Linked DNA regions of Rattus norvegicus. The main gene of each other region encodes a partner of the protein of the gene in region 2 in a complex. Links are inferred from orthologs where the notes say so. Each region holds a gene or a part of one and is shown on either strand. Other genes may lie near its edges.

What was found.
Region 1: Ercc2 (region 2) and Polr2d share a complex: the UniProt entries of both Homo sapiens proteins name them as parts of the TBP-based Pol II pre-initiation complex. The link is inferred for Rattus norvegicus from reciprocal best matches to the Homo sapiens genes ERCC2 and POLR2D.

The regions. Positions count from the first base shown.
Region 1 is NC_086036.1:23,689,559-23,699,023, forward strand, and holds the start of Polr2d (DNA-directed RNA polymerase II subunit RPB4), read left to right. Parts: upstream 1-3,019; 5' UTR 3,020-3,074; coding exon 3,075-3,147; intron 3,148-4,486; coding exon 4,487-4,667; intron 4,668-7,817; coding exon 7,818-7,913; intron 7,914-9,441; coding exon 9,442-9,465. UniProt on the Homo sapiens protein: Core component of RNA polymerase II (Pol II), a DNA-dependent RNA polymerase which synthesizes mRNA precursors and many functional non-coding RNAs using the four ribonucleoside triphosphates as substrates.
Region 2 is NC_086019.1:88,168,554-88,178,353, reverse strand, and holds the end of Ercc2 (general transcription and DNA repair factor IIH helicase subunit XPD), read right to left. Parts: intron 8,845-9,800; coding exon 8,775-8,844; intron 8,698-8,774; coding exon 8,628-8,697; intron 8,546-8,627; coding exon 8,444-8,545; intron 7,379-8,443; coding exon 7,315-7,378; intron 6,962-7,314; coding exon 6,840-6,961; intron 5,857-6,839; coding exon 5,764-5,856; intron 5,680-5,763; coding exon 5,607-5,679; intron 5,432-5,606; coding exon 5,361-5,431; intron 5,196-5,360; coding exon 5,052-5,195; intron 4,928-5,051; coding exon 4,784-4,927; intron 4,580-4,783; coding exon 4,487-4,579; 3' UTR 4,286-4,486; coding exon of another isoform or gene 4,214-4,285; 3' UTR 4,053-4,213; coding exon of another isoform or gene 3,989-4,052; 3' UTR 3,950-3,988; coding exon of another isoform or gene 3,633-3,949; 3' UTR 3,551-3,632; coding exon of another isoform or gene 3,460-3,550; 3' UTR 3,252-3,459; downstream 1-3,251. Other genes in the region: Klc3 (kinesin light chain 3), read left to right, coding at 714-944, 1,439-1,508, 1,815-2,034, 2,363-2,450, 2,548-2,649, 2,975-3,148, 3,460-3,550, 3,633-3,949. UniProt on the Homo sapiens protein: ATP-dependent 5'-3' DNA helicase. Component of the general transcription and DNA repair factor IIH (TFIIH) core complex, not absolutely essential for minimal transcription in vitro.

The DNA of each region.
Region 1 (9,465 bases), on a different chromosome or scaffold from region 2:
CTCTCTCTTTCTGTGTATGGATGTTCATGTGTCTGCAGGTACACGTGTGTCCATGTACATGGCAGAAAATGATATTGGATCCCTATTCAGGAATGCCATCCAATTTCTTTGAGGCAGGTCTCTCACCATCCTTGATTTACACGGCCCGAGAGCTCTTGGGATTGTATATATCTTCTTCCTCTCAGGGCTGGGATAATGAGCACTTTATGTGGGTTCTTATGATCTGTAACAAGGGTGCTGGTGGCCCTGATACTGACAAAGAACTGAGGGGTTGGGGATTTAGCTCAGTGGTAGAGCGCTTGCCTAGGAAGCGCAAGGCCCTGGGTTCGATCCCCAGCTCCGAAAAAAAGAACCAAAAAAAAAAAAAAAAAAAAAAAAAAAGAACTGAACACCAGGGACAGACAGAAGACCAAGCCCTGGAGAGGGGGGAAGTAAAAGGAATAAAAGCCTAACACTTGGAACTCCTGAGTAGACTGTGGTTTGAATATTTTCTGGGGCCCCTGGGATCGCCTCTTCCTGTTTAGATGCCCGTCCTCATGCTCCTCTGCCATTTCTCCCAATGAGAAATGTTCTTCTGTGAACATGGAATCTAAGGGAGGCTGCTTTTCCTTTCCTTGTCCACTCATATCCCTCGAACTTTCTCCCAGATGAAATCTGGGTCCGCATGCTGGCAAAAGCAAGCACTGTCATAACTGAACCTCCTCTCCAGTTCTAGTCCCTACCTCCTACGCAGTTCTGACTTCCAGGACACGAAGCTTTAGGAGACACATTTAAACTACAGCCAAACATCGGACTCTTGATCTTTCCTTAGCACCTTCTTTGACTGTGTTACATCACCCGTCAGATATTGCACTCGCTACTCTTAGTGAGCTCATGTTCGGGACAGATTTTTACCCTACTCATCATTTTAACCTCATGGACTTACAGATGGCTTATAATGGCTTCCTAAATGAAAATGGTACACATGGGCCAACCTGGGAAATGTCACTTTATGTTTTTGTTACTCTTGTTTTCTCTCTCTATGCCTGGTGACTTCTCTCCTCCTCCCTCCTTTCATGCCTCTGTGTGTGTGTGTGTGTGTGTGTGTGTGTGTGTGTGTGTGTGTGTATGTGCGTATGTGTATATATGTGTGTGTATGTATGTGTATGTGTATATGTGTGTATTATGTGTATGTGTGTATATATGTGTGTATGTATGTGTATGTGTATATGTGTGTATTATGTGTGTATGTATGTGTATGTGTATTATGTGTGTGTGTGTGTGTGTGTGTGTGTGTGTACTGAATCTCAAGTCCATTTCTACTACCTAGGTGCAGTATGACTATGAACTACTGCCCTGAATATCTTTGCAGGAGTTCTGATAAGCTGGAGCATGTCTGTTATAAAGGTCTTATGCTTTAAGGTTTATTTATGAGTATGGGTATTTTGTCTACATGTATGTCTGCACACTAGAACACCATGGACAATAGTTATAGACTGTGCGAGACACCATGTAGATGCTAGGAACTGAATCCATGACCTCTGTAAGAGCAGCCATGCTCTTAACTGCTGGGAGGTCTCTCCAGTCCCTGTTGTGATTTCTCACATGCTGTTCAGGAAAGCACCGAGAAATGGTTAAAAAGCTGTCAATACTATATAACCATTTATTTTAACCAATGCATTCCTTCTACAAATATAGATACACAGCAGTTTTGTAAAACTCATTTTATTTACAAACCAAAAGACTACCTATTCTTGGACCAGTGAGATCATGCAGCAGATAAAGGCCCTGAGTTCAATCCCCAGAATCTATGCAAAACTGGAAACAGAGAACAAATTCCACAAAATTATCCTCTAATCTCTTCTGTGCACCTCTGTATATATAATAAAAATACATTTTCTTGTCTTGTAATAAATACTTCTATCAATTTTTAAAAAGATTTATTTTCTGTGTATGTGAAGGGTGTGTATGGTGTGTTTCACCTCCAAAAGAGAGACCAGAAAGGGTTTAGATCCCTTGTAGCTGAAGTCACAGGTGTTTGTGAGCCATCTGGTGTGGGTGCTGGGAAATGAACCCAGGCCCTCTGAAAGCATCAAGTGTTAACCACAGAGCCACCTCTCCAGCCCATTTTTTATTAAGTTACAGGGTTTACTAGTGTTCACTAATGACCCAAAAACTGGAGAAGTGTTTGTCCCCCTTATTGTATAGACTTTTGTTTCTCTTTAAATTGAAAATATCACTTTTTCATTTAGCTTTCTACTTATTCAAATGTCTCAACAGATATGATAAAGGGTTCTCAATATTAAACTTCACCTGCTCAGAATTGTTAAATACACAGGAACAATTTAACAGGATGGTATGTTACCTAAACTGGCATGGATTCTTGGGAATTTGCTAAGTAGCCACGCCTCTTTGTGAATTTTTTTTTTTTTTTTGAGACAAGATCTCACTATGTAGCCCTGGTTTTATATCACTTTGTAAACCAGGCTAGTCTCAAATTCAAAAGATCCACCTGCCTTTGCCTGCCTCGGGCATGCTAGGATTAAAGGCATGCGCCACTACAAACTGATCTCCTTCAACTCTTGATCCTCGCGCTCAGTGATTGATTCATTACCACCACACAGGGGTTAGTCTTTTTTTTTTTTTCTTAAGACACAATTCAATCATTGAAAGAGATTTCAGTATGTTTCTGTAGTCACCTACCCAGCTTTTCAACATAGGACATTCCTTGGATCAGCCACTTAGTTCAGTCCTGCACCTCACTTTCTTCTGAAATGGCTTACTTGACGCTCCCAGGTGCCACGGCAATAGTGTGTTGCCGAAAATAAACACTTTAATCTCCAAGCAGGCAGCACAGAACCACACCTCCAACGACCGGAAGCCGCTAGACTGCGCCCGGACCGCCCCTGTCGCGGGCAGTCTCGCGGGTTTCCCCTAGTGTGATAGCAGGGTGCCTGACCTACCGTCGTCCGCCCGCTTTCTCGGCCCCGCCCATTCACTTGGCCCCACCCCGGAGCCGGATTGGTTCTTTTCCTTAGAAGAGCCCGTCCGTGCGGCTTCCGTCTCCGGCAGTGTCTGTGGCAGTGCGCAGGGCGATGGCGGCAGGTGGAAGCGATCCTCGAGCTGGCGACGTAGAAGAAGATGCTTCCCAGCTCATCTTTCCCAAAGGTAGTATCCGGGACAGTTCGACTCTGAGGTGACATTGTCCTTGAGTTATAGTCGTTATCCGTTCCCTGCCCACAGGGAGCATTCGGGGCCGGCACGGGGGATTGATTGGTCAGCCCGGTACAAATGAACCCTTTCGTAGTTAATTCCCCTACACCCAGCAGTTTTGTTTTTGTGAGAGCGTCTAATTAGGTATCCTAGGCTAGCCTCCACCTTATCACATTCGTGCCCTTTCCTCTTGAGTGCTAGAATTAAAGGCATGCGCCATCGCTCTTGATTTTTAGGGGGAGTTAAGCTATGCCTTTTCCTGTCATGCAGAAGATCTGGAGCAGAGGTCTCATTTCAAAATTGGCAGCCAGTAAAAGCTGAGCTATGGTTCCTCTCACAGTGCTAGTCAAAGCGTTTCAAGATCTGTGGGTCAGAAGTGCTCTCTGCCCTGGCCTCTGAGGAGAGATGCTGTTGCCGTTGGTTTCTGAACCTTCGTTGTAGCTTTTCGAGTTAGGAAGAACGTTTGAGAGCAAGATGGGTTCCGGTTTGGGATGTCTGGTACTTCCTTTTGTCGGATGTGTGCCAGCCTCTGTGCATAGTGCTGTTCCTGCTACTAAACTAGTCTAAACTAGTCACCTTGCCCCAGGAAATCAATCCCCTGTCTCTTCCTACCAACTGTTAGATATAGGAACCCTCTGTACCTGTTTTGTGGGTTCTGAGGATCCTAACTCTGCTTCTTACACTGGAGTGGCAAGTACATTATCCACTTAATCATCTGCCCAGCCCCAGCAAGTGAGGTTATCTTCTGTCTTTTGTGTGTGTTTTTAATTGAGATGGAGAATCTTTGTTTTTAAATTTTTATATATAAGGATTATTTTGCCTGCGTGTAGGTCTGCATGCATGTGAGGTGTCCATAGAAGCCAGATGTACTAATTGGACTTAAAAGATGATTTCGAGCCATCTTGTTGGTGCTGTGTGTGGCAGAACCCTTATCCTCTAGAAGATTAGCCAATGCTCTTAAGTGCGGAGCTGTCGTCTCTCCAGCCCTTATGTCACTGTTGTAAAATTTATTTTTATTTTAATTATGTCTGTGCAGGTATCTGAGGAGGGGAGAGGTGCTATGAGGTGTCTGATGGGGTGCTGAGAATTGAACTTCCTTCGAAAGAGCAGTGCATGCTCATTTCTCTAGCCTTCTGGTTTCGTTTGTTTGGTGTTTTTGAGTCTCTCTGGCTATCTTACAGCTCATCAATAATAGACCAGGCTGGCCTCAAACACAGAGATCATCCTGCCTCTGCCTCCCAAATGCTGAGACTTTGAAAAGAGTATTTTCAGTTCACATTTATTCTTCTTCCAGAGTTCGAAACAGCTGAGACGCTCCTGAACTCTGAAGTTCACATGCTTCTGGAGCACCGAAAGCAGCAGAATGAGAGTGCGGAGGACGAACAGGAGCTTTCAGAGGTTTTCATGAAAACCCTGAACTATACAGCCCGTTTCAGCCGGTTCAAAAACAGAGAGACCATTGCCAGTGTTCGTAGGTGAGTACTGAACATAAGCCCAAAACTAAAATCTACTTATGTATGTGTTATGGGAGTTTGGCTGCTTGTATGTCTGTGCACCATGTGTGTAAACACCCACAGAGGCCAGAATAGGGCGTTAGCTCCCCAGGGCTGGAATTACGGACAGTCGTGAGTCACTGTGTAGGTGCTGGGACTCGAAACCCAAGTCCTCTGAAAGAGCAGCTGGTGCCCTCAGCTGCTGAACCGCATCTCCAGCCCTACAAAACGGTTTTATTATTATAGACTCTCGTGAAAGACAGAGGCTGTAGGATCCAGGAGTTCAAGGGCATCCTTAGGGGCATAGTAGGTTCAAAGCCAGCCTTGATTGCATGAGACGCTGTTTTAAAAATGCTAACAAAGCAGGGGCCGCTGAGATGGCTCAGTGGGTAAAACATGCTTCAGCCAAGAGGTGGTGGTGCACCCCTTTAACCCAGCACTCAGGAGGTAGAGGCAAGCATATCTCTGAGTTCGATGCCAGCCTGGTCTATAGAACAAACAAACAAATGCAACCAAAAGTGCTTTCTGGGTAAGTCTTAGGACCTGAGCTTATATAGAACCCCAGATGCACCCAGAAGCTCTGAGAATGAATGAGAAGTTGCCTTCTAAGTATGTATGCTTACGCACTTACACATACACACAAATGGCTAAATAAACAGACCACACACAAATACTTAGGGGAAAAACAAACAAACAAACAAAAAAACCCTAACTGGGTATGCCTTTAATCCCAGAATTTGAGAGACAGAGACAGGAGAATCTCTGTTTGACTCCAGCCTGGTCTACATAGCAAGTTCCAGGACTACATAGATAGAACCTGTTAAAAAAAAGTAATCAAGGGCTTGAAGCCCCCACCCCCACCCCCAAATTTTGCCTACCAGAAAAAAGGCTCTCAGACTTGACTCAGTCAAAATTTTCTCCACTGCATCACAAATTCTGGGGTTACTAGTATATGCCATCATGCACTCGCTGCCCTCCAGGTACGATTTCTTGTATTCATTTTTATTTTATTATTTTTTTTATTGGATATTTTATGTATTTACATTTCAAGTGTTATCCCCTTTCCAGTTTCCCCTCTGGAACTCCTCTATCCCATCTCTCCAACCCCTGCTTCTACGAGGGTGCTCCCCCACCCACCCACTCCCAGCTCACTGCCCTGGCATTCCCCTATACTGGGACATCCAGTCTTTGCAGGACCAAGGGCCTCTTCTATTGATGCCAGACAATGCCATCCTCTGCTACATATGTAGCTGGAGACATGGGTCGCTCCATGTGTATTCTTTGGTTGGTGGTTTAGTCTCTGGGAGCTCTGTGGGGATGGAATCTGGTTGGTTGATATTGTTCCTGTAGGGTTGCAAACCCCTTTGGCTCCTTTAGTCCTTTATCTAACTCCTCCATTGGAGACCTTGTGCTCAGTCCAGTGGTTGGCTGTGAGCATCTGCCTCTGTCAGAGCCTCTCAGGAGACAGCTATATCAGGCTCCAGTCAGTATGCACTTGGCATCAGCAATATTATTTTTATTTTATACACACACATACACACACACACACACACACACACACACACACACACACACACACATGAGGGGGCGGGGAGAGGGGATTTCTTTATATAACTTGGATATATATATATGTGTATATATATATGTGTGTATATATATATATATATATATATATATTTTTTTTTTTTTTTTTTTTTTTTTTTTTTTGAGGCAGAGTCTCATTATCTAGCCCCGGCTGGTCTAGAACTCCATATTAGACCAGGTTGTTTTCTATCTCACAGAGATCCACCTGTTTTGAGATTAAAGGTGTCGAACACCACACTGTCTTTTGTTTTTTAGAAAAAATTTATATTATTGTCATCGTTATTATTACTGAGACAGATTTGTATCTCTGTTTAGTGAAGAGCATGCTGTGTAGACCAGGCTGCTGTGAATGTGTGCTATTAGGCACAGAAAATCATTTTTTGTTATTTTGTTTATATGTATATACACGCTTGTATATATGTGCACCATGTGTGTTCAGTGCCAGCACTAGCAGAGGCCAGAGAGGAGTTGTAGACACATGGACCCACCCAGTGCAGTTGTTAACTCAAGTCCTCTGAAAATTAGCAGATGCTGTTACTGCCGAGCCATTTTTCCAGTCCCCCAGAGTATATAAGTTCTTACTACATTCATTTGGAAACCAAACTTATTCTCTCGTAAGCTTTATTTTATAGTGCAGGCTATGGAGATCCTGAAGGTGCAGCTTACACACAGATTTGCACAGAGTTTGGGGTATTTCAAAGTTAAAGGAGAGGAGTTTCCCTCAACATACGCAATAGGCTAGCCAATCAGATCTCCTGAATTGCTTAACATTAACTTATCAAAGGTAGCAGATAGAGCAAAGAGCTAGAGAGTCACTTCCTTTTGAATATTTATTTATTTTTTTTTCTTTTCTTTTCTTTTTTTTTTTTTTGGAGCTGGGGACCGAACCCAGGGCCTTGTGCTTGCTAGGCAAGCGCTCTACCACTGAGCCAAATCCCCAGCCCCTTGAATATTTATTATTGCATTTTATTTTATGTGTGTGTTTGCCTCTGCACCACACAAGTGCCTAGTACTGGCAGAGTCCAAAGAGGGGTATCAGATCCAGTGGATCTGGAATTTCAGACAGTTGTGAGCCACCATGTGGGTACTGTAAATTGAACCCGGGACCTCTGAAAAGAGCAACTCTCAACTACTGGTTTCTTGGCAGTAGTTACAGCACATACATTCCTCTTTACCCAGCTGTGCTCTTCTCAGGGTTCTTGGCTGTCTACGGTGGGTTCTTTGTTTTCTTTTTCTGGAACGTCTTGATTTTCTGGGGTAGGAACAGAAAGTGATTTCAAAGGGGGATTCTGATGCCCATATAGCCACAATCAAAGATTATAAATACCTTTTCTCACCTACATTTGATCTTTTTGCTATTGATGGACTTAGCATTTGACCAGCACTGAATGAGACTGTAGTTTTTTGTTTCGTATTAGCATATAACTGCAGGTAATTACAGGTTCCATTGTGACATTTTTATTCAGGTATATAGTATAGTATAGATCGTGCTCATTTCCTGTCTCTGTCCCTCTCTAACGTCCTGTGTTCTATTTCCCTCACACTCAGCCTGCTTCTCCAGAAGAAGTTACATAAGTTTGAATTGGCTTGTTTAGCCAATCTGTGCCCGGAGACTGCTGAGGAGTCCAAAGCGCTGATTCCAAGGTTCGTACGGGATGGGATGGGGTTTGTCTATTTTATATGGATTTCTCTAAGTCAGATTGCTAGATCCACATGTCGTAAGCGTTTAGCAGTTGGGTTGATGCCATGCTAGCGTTGAGTAAGAGTGTAGTTGAGTGGTGTTTGAGATGGGACTTGGGGGTTGGTTTTGTGCTTTGCTGGTGGCAGTCTCAGGTAGCCAAGGCTTTCCTTGAGCTCTTGATTGCCCTGCTTTCACCTCAAGGGCTGGGATTACAGGCATGAACGAGCATGCTGGCTTAAGAATAGTTTGAGTTTACCCATTAATTGTTTGTGTGCATGTGTACACACGCATGCCTGTGAATGTCACATTAAGCACGTGAGGGTCAGTGGACAGTTTCTCTTCGTTTACTAGGTAGGTTCCCAGATTAAACTCAGGTTGTTAGATTTGGTGGCAGACAACCTTTATTAGCTGAACCATCTTGGAAGCCTGAGAACAATTGTCTTTTTTTTTTCCCTCTATTCTTTTTTTCGGAGCTGGGGACCAAACCCAGGGCCTTGCGCTTGCTAGACAAGCACTCTACCACTGAGCCAAATCCCCAACCCGAGAATAATTGTCTTATACCCCAGGACAGGAAGAATATGGAACAGAAGAGGGTGGTAGGAATATAGCTCAGTGGTAGAACTTTTTGCCTATCGTGTCTGGGACTGAGTTTGAGCTCCCAGTACCTCAGAGAGGAGCATTAGAAATGGGCAGAATTCGCCTTCCTGTAGGGAGTAGCCAAGCATGTGACTATATCTAGAGAAATCAATGGGAAATGGGACTTCTCCCAGACCTAAAAGGTATTCTGGGATTCTGTGTTATTGGTATAGAAGATATTGGACATAATCATTAAGTCACTCAACAAATGAGACACAAAACTGCAGGGCCTGGGAGTGTGTGTTTTTAATCCCAGCAGAGGCAGGCAGATCCCTGTGAGTTCTAGGGTAGCCAAGGCTGCATAATGAGACCTGGTCTCAAAGAAAAGACTAAGCTATACCAACCAAACAAAAGTTTAAATCATATGTGACTGTTGAAGCTTTTAGAATCTTTTTTTTTTTTCCTCTTGGAGTTGGGGACCGAACCCAGGGCCTTGCGCTCGCTAAACGAGCGCTCTACCACTGAGCTAAATCCCCAACCCCTAGAATCTTTTATATATTTACAACCTTTTGGTGCTTCTATAAGGGATGTCAAAAGAAATTCGGTTTAAACTTAAAGGTAGTAGAGCTAAGCAAGGTGCTCAGAGATGAACCTCCTTTGAAAAACAGGGTGGGGGGCTGGAAAGATGGCTCAGTGGTTAAGAGCACTGACTGCTCTTTGGTCATGAGTTCAATTCCCAGCAACCACATGGTGGCTCACAACCTGTAAAGAAATCCGATGCCCTCTTCTGGTGTGTCTGAAGACAGCTACAGTGTACTTATATATAATAAATGAATAAATCTTTATTTAAAAAAAAAAACAGGGTGGGAAAACTGCCAGTTTCTAAGTCACTTAAATTTCTTGGTCTTCTTCTAGCCTGGAAGGGCGTTTTGAAGATGA
Region 2 (9,800 bases):
CCTTAGTAAGGGGCTGGGGCGTGGCTCAGTGGTAGGGCCCCTGCCTACCCCTAGCCCCTCACTGGGGGATTCTAGGCAGGGGCTCTACCACTGAGCCCCGCCCCCAGCCCCTCACTGGGGGATTCTAGGCAGGGGCTCTACCACTGAGCCCCGCCCCCAGCCCCTCACTGGGGGATTCTAGGCAGGGGCTCTACCACTGAGCCCCGCCCCCAGCCCCTCACTGGGGGATTCTAGGCAGGGGCTCTACCACTGAGACACGCCCCCAGCCCCTCACTGGGGGATTCTAGGCAGGGGCTCTACCACTGAGACACGCCCCCAGCCCCTCACTGGGGGATCCTAGGCAGGGGCTCTACCACTGAGCCACGCCCCCAGCCCCTCACTGGGGGATCCTAGGCAGGGGCTCTACCACTGAGCCACGCCCCCAGCCCCTCCCTGGGGGATTCTAGGCAGGGGCTCTACACTGAGCCACGCTCCTGTTAGGCAGGTGCTGCTGGCTTTCATAGCTGGAATAGGAATTAGTCCTATGTGTAATTTAGGTGAAGTCAGGAATTTCTGGGAAACTCTTAACTTTATCAGAGCCACATAGCAGGGTGTCTTGAGAATCTGGGGGAAACTGTGTAGAATGGGTATGTGTGACTTAATGTAAAACCTGGGCTGGGGCTGGGGCTGTCCTTGGACGAATCCACTCCTACTCATGGGTCAGTGCTCCGCAGGTGCTGCTGGCCCTGTCTGCACACGTGGGTGTGTTGGAGGCTGAGAAGCAGAGGCTACGGGCACAGGCACGGAGGCTAGCCCAAGAGAACACATGGCTTCGAGAGGAGCTGGAGGAGACACAGAGGCGACTGCGGGCCAGTGAGGAGGCTGTGGCCCAGCTGGAAGAGGAGAAAAGCCACCTTCAGTTCCTGGGGCAGCTGAGGCAGTATGACCCGCCCGAGGAGAGCCAGGTAGCAGGGGCAGGGTCCTCCACGGAGCTCCAGGATGCCCTTGAGTCTTCCTTAGTACTCATCGCCTCATAGCCCTTCAAGTACATACGGGGTCCCTAAATCCCCATACCTAAGTGAGCTTCCAAAATCCCCTCAATGCTCCCTAGGGCTTTCAGGTCTTCTCCCAGCTCACTGAAACCTCTAAGGCTCTCATCCCACGCCTTTGTCAAGCTCAGAGCTACTATGGCTGAGGCTGGGAGGATGCTGTGAGTTCTAGGCCAACCTGGGCTACATTGTAGTGAGACTCTTGCCTCATAAATATACCAGTCCTGGAGCCAGGCATGGTGGCATGCCTTTAAGCCCAGCACTTTGAAGGCAGAGGCAGGCCAGCTAGTCTACGCAATGAGCCCCTGTCCTAAACACCAGAAAGCTACACAGGCCGGCTTGATGTAGCTTCAGGGCTTCAGCCTCCAACACTTGACATTCTCAGAAATACTCTTTCCTGTTTACCACAGAGGCCGGATTCCCCGCCTCGCCGAGACAGCCTGGCTTCTCTCTTCCCCAGTGAAGAGGAGGAAAAGAAAGGTGGGTGTGTGGGAGCCCTGGGCACGATATCAGAGGGTAACCACGCAGGACTATAGGCTAAGCCTGGGGCAAGAGCCTTGCCCTAAGGGACACTGAGGCCTCTGAGGAGGGGAAGCAAGTGGCTCTGATGAGCAGGGACATTGGAAGCTGGAAGTCAGTCATGTTCGGTTCTGGCACCTAACATGCCACTGGCTGGTTAGATTTCTGAAATCCCTGTGTCCTGTCAGCACAAGGCCATACTCCGAGAGGTGGCTGTGGGGTACAGGCTGAGGCCCACTGTGGCTGACTCTACACCACCTCCCCCAGGTCCTGAGGCAGCAGGAGCAGCAGCAGCGCAGCAGGGTGGCTATGAGATCCCAGCTCGTCTGCGGACTCTGCACAACCTGGTGATCCAGTATGCTAGCCAGGGCCGCTATGAGGTGGCAGTTCCGCTGTGTCGCCAGGCCTTGGAGGACCTGGAGCGGAGCTCAGGCCACTGCCACCCTGACGTGGCCACCATGCTCAACATCCTGGCACTTGTGTACAGGTGAGGGCTGTGGCTAATTGGGCCAGACTCCACCTGGGATAGTGGGGGACACTGCAACCCCCTGACTAGGTAAAGCACCTAGGGTGGGGACAGGAAAGTGAAAGGAACAGAGACCTAGAGAGGCAGTGAAAGCCGGAATCTAGAATTTGGGCACCAGAGAATGCAAGGGACATGAGACATGATGCTTAACAGGGCTGGCAATGTGGGGACCCAGAGCTAGAGGCCTGAGAGGTGTGAGAAAGGGGGCCCCCTGAAGGATGCCAGTCATTCCTGGCTCAGTTCAGCCTGTGACACCAGCTTAGCCCAGCCTTCCGTCCCTGCCCTGCAGGGACCAGAACAAGTACAAGGAGGCCACGGAGCTTCTTCACGACGCCCTGCAGATCCGGGAACAGACGCTGGGTCCTGAACACCCTGCAGTGAGCGGAGTTCAGGGAGGGGGTGTGTTTTGGGGGGAGATGGACTCAGGAGGGTGAGCTGCAGGGCCCTCCTCCTTCGACAACTGTCTTCCTACAGGTGGCCGCCACCCTCAACAACCTGGCAGTCCTTTACGGAAAACGTGGCCGTTACCGGGAGGCAGAACCCCTCTGCCAGCGTGCTCTGGAGATCCGTGAGAAGGTGCTGTGCCCAGCCCTGCTCCCCATCACTGGTACTTCAAGCTACCTGCCACGCCTTGCGTTTGGTGGCAAGTCCACCTCATTTGAGCCCAGAGCGCCCAACCTTGTGACCTTAGTGAGCTCACAGTCCAATCCTGACTTTGACCCCTGCACCCTTTCACATCTTTGCTGATTAGCCGGACTCCGTACCCCATGACCTCTAACTTCACTAATCTCCACTCCCCCTTAACTTCCACTCTGTTCCTATATTCCCAGCCCGGGACCCTGGAAAGACAGTGGCATCTCACCAGCTACCCTATGTGACAGATGGCTTCTGTGTACCCTAGGTCCTGGGTGCTGACCACCCTGATGTGGCCAAGCAGCTCAACAACCTGGCCCTGCTGTGCCAGAACCAGGGCAAGTTTCAGGATGTGGAGCGGCACTATGCAAGGGCCCTGAGTATCTACGAGGCCCTGGGGGGACCACAAGACCCAAATGTGGCTAAGACCAAGAACAACCTGGTAAGGCATGTCGGGTGTGTCCTGTCCTGGGGGTTCTGTAGGGAGGGAAGAGACCACGGGCTCCTGCAGGCCCTTCAGTACAAAAACCAGAAGCAAACCCCAGTTCAGAGTCCTGTGTCAGATTTTACTGTGGTCATGGGGGGTGACCCCAAACATTTCACCCACTGAGGTAGGAGACCAGCGCAGAGATGCAGGACTGGCTCTGCGCTGTAGTAAGCTGAGGCAGGATGCTGGGGAAGGCGGGCAGGTCTGAGAAGTTCCCAGGCCTAAACAAGATGCCCACGCCCTGCCCCTACCCTCCCTCCCCGCAGGCCTCGGCCTACCTGAAGCAGAACAAGTATCAGCAGGCAGAGGAGCTATACAAGGAGATCCTCAGCCAGGAGGCCCTGCCTGCCCCGCTTGGTGAGCCCACCCCTGCACCCTCCTGCACACCCTCCTGTGTGGCGTTCCTCACTCCCACCTCCATGTCCCTTCTGTCCCTCAGGAGCCCCCCAGGGAGGCACAGCAGGTGAAGCACAACAGCAGGTAAGCAGGCTGTGCCTTAGGTCCTTTTGGGTCTGGTCTGGGTGGGCCTCCACCATGGCCACAGGTCACTGTGCCCTCCCCAGGTCCTACGCAGGAGCAGTTCCTTCTCTAAGCTCAGAGAGTCCATCCGGCGTGGAAGTGAGAAGCTGGTCTCCCGCCTCCGAGGGGAGAGCATGGCAGGGGCTGCAGGGTGAGTGCTGGGTGAGCTCAGGAGCTTGCCAAGAACCTTCCATGACATCAGCCTCAGTGACACTGGTCAGAGTCAGGGACCTGTAGCTTCCCAACTCACACCTGTCTTTTTGGGCTCCTCTTCAGGATGAAGAGAGCCATGTCACTCAATATGCTGAACGTCGATGGTCCAAGGGCTGCCAGGATGCAGGTGAGGAGCCAGTGATGGAGTAGGGTGCTGTTGGCAGGCTCAGCAAGACGGGAAAGGTGGGGCGGCCTCCTGGGGCCTCAATGTAGGGGTGAGTTGGTGGGTAGGGCATGAAATGGCTCCAGTGTCAACTGGAAAAGAACTCTAACCTGTGCCTGTCCCAGCTCTCAACCCAGCACCTGAATGAGGCCTCTCGGACCCTCAGCGCCAGCACGCAGGATTTGAGCCCGCGCTAAGTGGACTGGCTGCAGTGGTCACAGCTTCTCAGGGATCAGGAAGGGTGGGTGGGTGGTCTCCCTGCACCCTGCCTGGGCAGCATGTGAGGATGGGGAGGGACCCTGTGATCCTCCCTGCAATTAAAGGCTGTGCACTGGCACTGGGTGTTCGCCGGGGGCCCTGGGACCTTCCCTCACTTCCCGGGAGCCACAGTCCCGTGTTCAGAGCTGCTGTGCAATCTGCTCAATTCGCTGTAGTGTTTCCTCGGACTGCAGCTGCTCCAGACTGAGCAGTGACAGACCCAACTGATCCTCCTGAGGGGACAGAGGCAAAGGACAGGCGTCAGCTCGCATCCAACTACGTGACTGAGAGTGTCCGGTGGCTGGAGCACACGGCCAGACTAGGAAAAGGGAACTAGCGCTCTCACCTGTCCTTTACCTCCTGAATATGGGGCCTGAGGTGACTAGGAAGCATGTGCACACCTGGTGGCGGGAGAAGCGTGCGGGGCCCAGGCTTACCCGGTGGAAGGGCTGTGCCATCTGCCGCAGGAAGTACTTGGCGACCTGTACACCCTCATCCACGGTCAGGTTGAGGTTGGAGTCAGTCAGATGCTCCTGGATCCATCGAGGCAGCTTCCCACGCTTGTCAGCTCGAGCAAACCGCTGTGAGGAGGGAGGGGAAGGATGTTAGACCCCAGGTTGGAGCCCAGGCTGCCTACTACCCTGTACCCTGTGAGGAAGAAGTTGGGCTAGCTGGATTGGGGTGCCCAAAAACCCTGAACCCCACCTTGTCAGCAAAGACCATGAGTCCATAGTCTGTCTTGCCCCTGATAGCGCGACCCACACACTGCGCTGCATGGCGCATGGCATCAAAGGTGAGGAAGTCATTCTCTCGGATCTGGAACTGGTCCCGCAGATACTCTAGCCTGGCCTGGGGGACAAGGAGGTTGAGGTGGAGAGCCTGCCCTTCCCCACCACAAGACGACGACACCACCACCACCACCACCACCACCACCACCACCACCACCACCACCACCACCACCACCACCACCACCACCACCACCACCACCAGGACATCACTGATTCCCCCACTCACCTTGAGAATTCGGCTCTGGGTGTAAACATAGGGGACGCCAAACATGATCACGGCCCGCCCATAGTGGTGCACTGCGGGCAGGAACGCAAGGTTACAGTGCGCGCTGGGCTGGCTGGGGCTAAGGCACGTGCTTAGGTCACCCCAGGGTGTGGAAAGGGGACAGAATCCCTGTGTGCCCAGTGGTCCCCAAGGGAGCAGCAGTGGTAGGGTGGGCTGGCCCCTTGACTAACGGCCAGGTCTACTCACCAAAGTCAATCCCTTCTGATACTTTGCCCCGAGCCACTGAGAGCAGAATGGCCCCGCGGCCATTCTCACATGCCTAGGGAGGTGGAAACAGTCACTTCTCAGCCCTCTCCCACACCTGTTGGCTGCCGGCCTTCCCCTGCCTGTCCCAGGCACTCACCTCTTGGTACTTCTCCAGGGCCACACTGGTCTCAGCCCCATCCTGGGTCTCAATGAAGAGCAGTTTGTTTCTCTGGATGTTTTCAAGGATGCCCTGGGGGTGACAGGGAGGTCAGGGCTCAAGCCACACAGAGTCAAGCACTCCAATTTCAGCCCCACTGCTATGGCCTCCATGAAGACCCTTCTCTAGGCCCCCAGCTGTCCAACCTCATTGGCAGCCTAAAGTGGGGAGCCAATCACCACCCAAGGTGGGCAAGAGGCCCCAGAGTGGCAAGTGACTGGTGGAGGGTCTGCTGACAACCACGGCAGGACCAACCAGGCCGTCCTCAGACCAAATCTGTCACTGCAGTGGTGAGCGAGGGACAGAGACAAAATCAGGCAGCCCACCAGAACAGACTCTGGGTTCAGAGAGACCAGGCAGGGTTACCTGTGTAGCCCAGTGAGCACACTCTACCAAAGATGCTAAATACGGGAGGGAGTTTTACTTGAGAAGAAATGAACTCTGACCCTATCTCACCGAGCCCAGTGAGACTGTTGTGTCTCAGAGACACAGACTCTGGCTTCAACAGTCAGGCTGGCAGGTTTCTGTTCTCAGAACCAGGGACTGACTGGGATAATGGCCTGTACATGTTACACGTATGCTTGCTCCACCATTCTACAGCCCCTCACTGGGACACGCCCTGCCTGAGACACACCCAGTCTACAGTGCCTGCTCAAACTAGGCCTGAAAGCTGGGCTCAGCAGTCACAAGACAGAAGAGCATCCCCATGCGGCATAGAACCCCACGGCTCCATCCAACCGCACAGGTTTGAGAGCTCCTGATCTAGCTTAGCCCTCCAGAATCTGCACATCCTAGCACCAAGCCTTCTTGCTAGGATGTAGTCTGCAGTGACCCCAGGAGCACTGCAGCACACGAACCCCAAAGGTGGGATAGTCCCCTGTGGTGGGGACAGGCAGGGTAGGGGTGCTGTTGGCATCACTGTCCCACCCTGTGACATGTCGTCACCAGTAGAAAGAGTGGGTGAAGCCACAGGAAGAGCAGAGCTGAGAGTGTGGGCGGCAGTGGGCAGGCGTTACCTGCTCATACCAGGAGGCTACAGTGCTTTCCATGTACTGGTAGCTGGTGAAGAAGGCCACGATGCCATCAGGGACCACGGCAGACATCTCCAGCAGGAGGTTGCCATAGTTGCGGATTACAGCTATAAGAGTAGGGTAGAGACTGGACTCTCCTGCCTCCCACTGAGGCCACATACCCATATTCCCAATTCATTCTCCCAAGCATCCCTGATATCAAGACCATGAAACTTATGACAGCACAAGAAACAAGTGGAGTGGTTGTCTCTTCCATGTGACCCTCAGGAGCCAGTGCCCAAAGTCCCAGGGGCCCTGTGCTATGTGCTTAACTCAGTGGTAGTGCAGATCTCCAAATGAAGAGACCCAGGGCGCTGAGGGTGGGAAGGCCCCCTGTGCTAGCCATAGAGACTGGGGTCTTGCGATGGCACAGGTCCTAGGCCACCTGAGACCCACCCGACCAAGCCTCCGGGTGACTCACCGATATCTTCTCTGGTCTCAAATTTGGAACTGATTGCTACCTGGTCATTACCACGGCCAATGATCTGGAAGAGTCAGAGTTAAGGACAGTGTAAACACAATGACAGTCAAAACCCCCTTGCTTGAGATGGTGTCTCATGTAGCCCAGGCTGGCCTTCAGATTAGGAGCCTCCCCAAGGCTCTCCATCCTCCCAAGCCCATGAGAAGGCTGTTCTCCAACCCCCTGAAGTTCTGTGTAGCCAAGGTGATCCTGGTTCTCCTGCCCCTCTCCCAGATTTGAGATGAGTGCCCCGTGCATGATAGGCAAGCACTGGATCAAATAAGGCCCGAGTTCAGGGAAGCCTATGTACGGGGACAGCAGATCACATGGCCTAAGTCTCTGTATGGATACAGTAGGTCACGTGGCCTAAGCCTATGGTTGGCACTGCTTGGACAAATGCCTAGAGCTCAACCATGAGCCACTCACACAGTCACACAGCAACAAGCCCTGGGGAAGGACTTCTGTGCTTTTAAGTAGTGCTATATTCCAGCCTTGGGCAGTTCCAGACACAGGTCACGCCACAGCATACATCCCATTAGCAACCCTCTGCAGCCAACCCTGCTGCAGAGACGAGAGGCCTGCAGGCAGGCAGCCTCTGACGTGGCCCTCCACAACGCCTGTGCTCAATAAGCAGGTGACCCAGCTACAAGCCCTCCCCACAGTAAGGTTTTCCAGGGCATGTGATTCTGTGCCAGGCTTCCCTTGGCTGCTGTGACTCGAGGCCCTGGGGTGAACACGCCTAGAGAGCTGTGGGGCTCTGAACTGGAAAGGTCATGAGGCTGAGGGGACAGCTCTGTCCCAGGCTTCAGAGGGAGGCTCATTACCCAAGAAACAGCTGGATGTCAAATGACAAAGCCACCCTCAGTAAGATGATGCCCAAACACCAGCTGCCCAGGCCTGCGTCGCACCAGCGTACTCTTTGCGCGCACGTGTCTAAGTGCCATGTTGCTGGGAAGGGGCCTGAGGGTCCCTCCCATGTTGGCAGCACTTAGTAATTTGGTGCATCCACCAGGTCTGAGCCTCAGCTGAGCAGCCGGCTGCCGTAGTTGAAGCCAGGAGGCAGGCGACCTCACCTGCCTCACCCACTCACCATTGGGCAGAGGCAGACTCGGGCCAGTGTCATGGTGAAGGTTGCCATTGTAACCGGGTGGAAGTCCAGGATCTTGGGGTAGATGTCCAGTGGAGACAGTGTCTGTAACAGAGACAGCAAGGGAGACCTCAGCAGGATGGCCAAAGACCAGGACCCTGATGGAGGAACAGCACAGAGTCCTCACCCCGGACGTGATGATGACAGACTGGAAGCGTTCAAACACAGGCTTGATGGCCAAGGAGGCGTCCATACAGCTGTGGGGCAATACAGGGTCACACAGAGCAGAGGGCAGGGTCGAGGCCTGTCCCACCCACGCAGGGCTGCATCTCACCTGAAGTGCAGAATGGGGTTGGTGATGGTGGGGGTCCTGTCGTCAAAGGGTTCAATGATAATGGTGAAGCCTGGTGGAGGGGGAGCCAGGGAGTCTCACTGTGATCACCCCAGACACTCACCATCCAGGGATGGAACCGCCCCAGCCTGCCCACTTCTGCACAGCTGGGTCATGCAGATACTCGGGTGCAGAAGCAGATGAGTTGGGGCTTCCTTACATGGCCCTGCAGACAGACAGACCAAGCCCCCACTCCCCAGGCAGCTCTGTCCTCCAGTTTCTCCCACTCCTGCTCCCCACACAGCAACCAGAGACATGCCATGGAACCGAGTTTGCTAGTGTGCACACTTCCCATGACCCCAGAGGTGTGCCATGGATCTGCAGGGACCCCTTGCACCAGCTGCTGTGCCAGTTTCCACTTGACTGAGTCCCTGCCCCAGAGGCCAGTGCTATGGTGCTGGCACCACCATACTTTCCAGAGGCACCTGGAATCATCTTTGCTCCTCGTTCTCCCCCAGGCTGTGACTCCTGGAAGGGGAGGACGAGGCTGTTTTTAGATCCTCTTGCTTCGACAGTGCTGGGCCTGGCCCATTTGTTGACTGAACAAATGAATACATTCATGGATTCTGTTTCACTTGGCAACAAATGACCAGGTCTTACGTGTCCAGCCCTTGCCAAGGACACAGCAGGGACCAACACAGCCTCAGTCCCACCCACAAGGGCTCCCTTGTATAGGGGAGACGGCTACCTAGCGAGCAGTGACCTGAGACACATCTGGAATAGAGGAGGGGCAGGCCCAGCAGAGGGTGGGTAGGGTGCCTTTCTGAGAGCTAAGGATGCATGCAGCATGCAGGAGACGGGGGAAGGGGAAGGAGCTTTCAATCGACTGCAGTGGGTTGTAGATGGTGGGAGGCAGAAAACAAAGGTGGGCCAAGAGAAGGGCTAAGTGAGGGCTAAGTGAGGGCTGAAGGAAGCAGGCCAACTGCCCTGCAGTGGGGTTGATGGGGTTGGGGGTGGGGGGGAATCTAT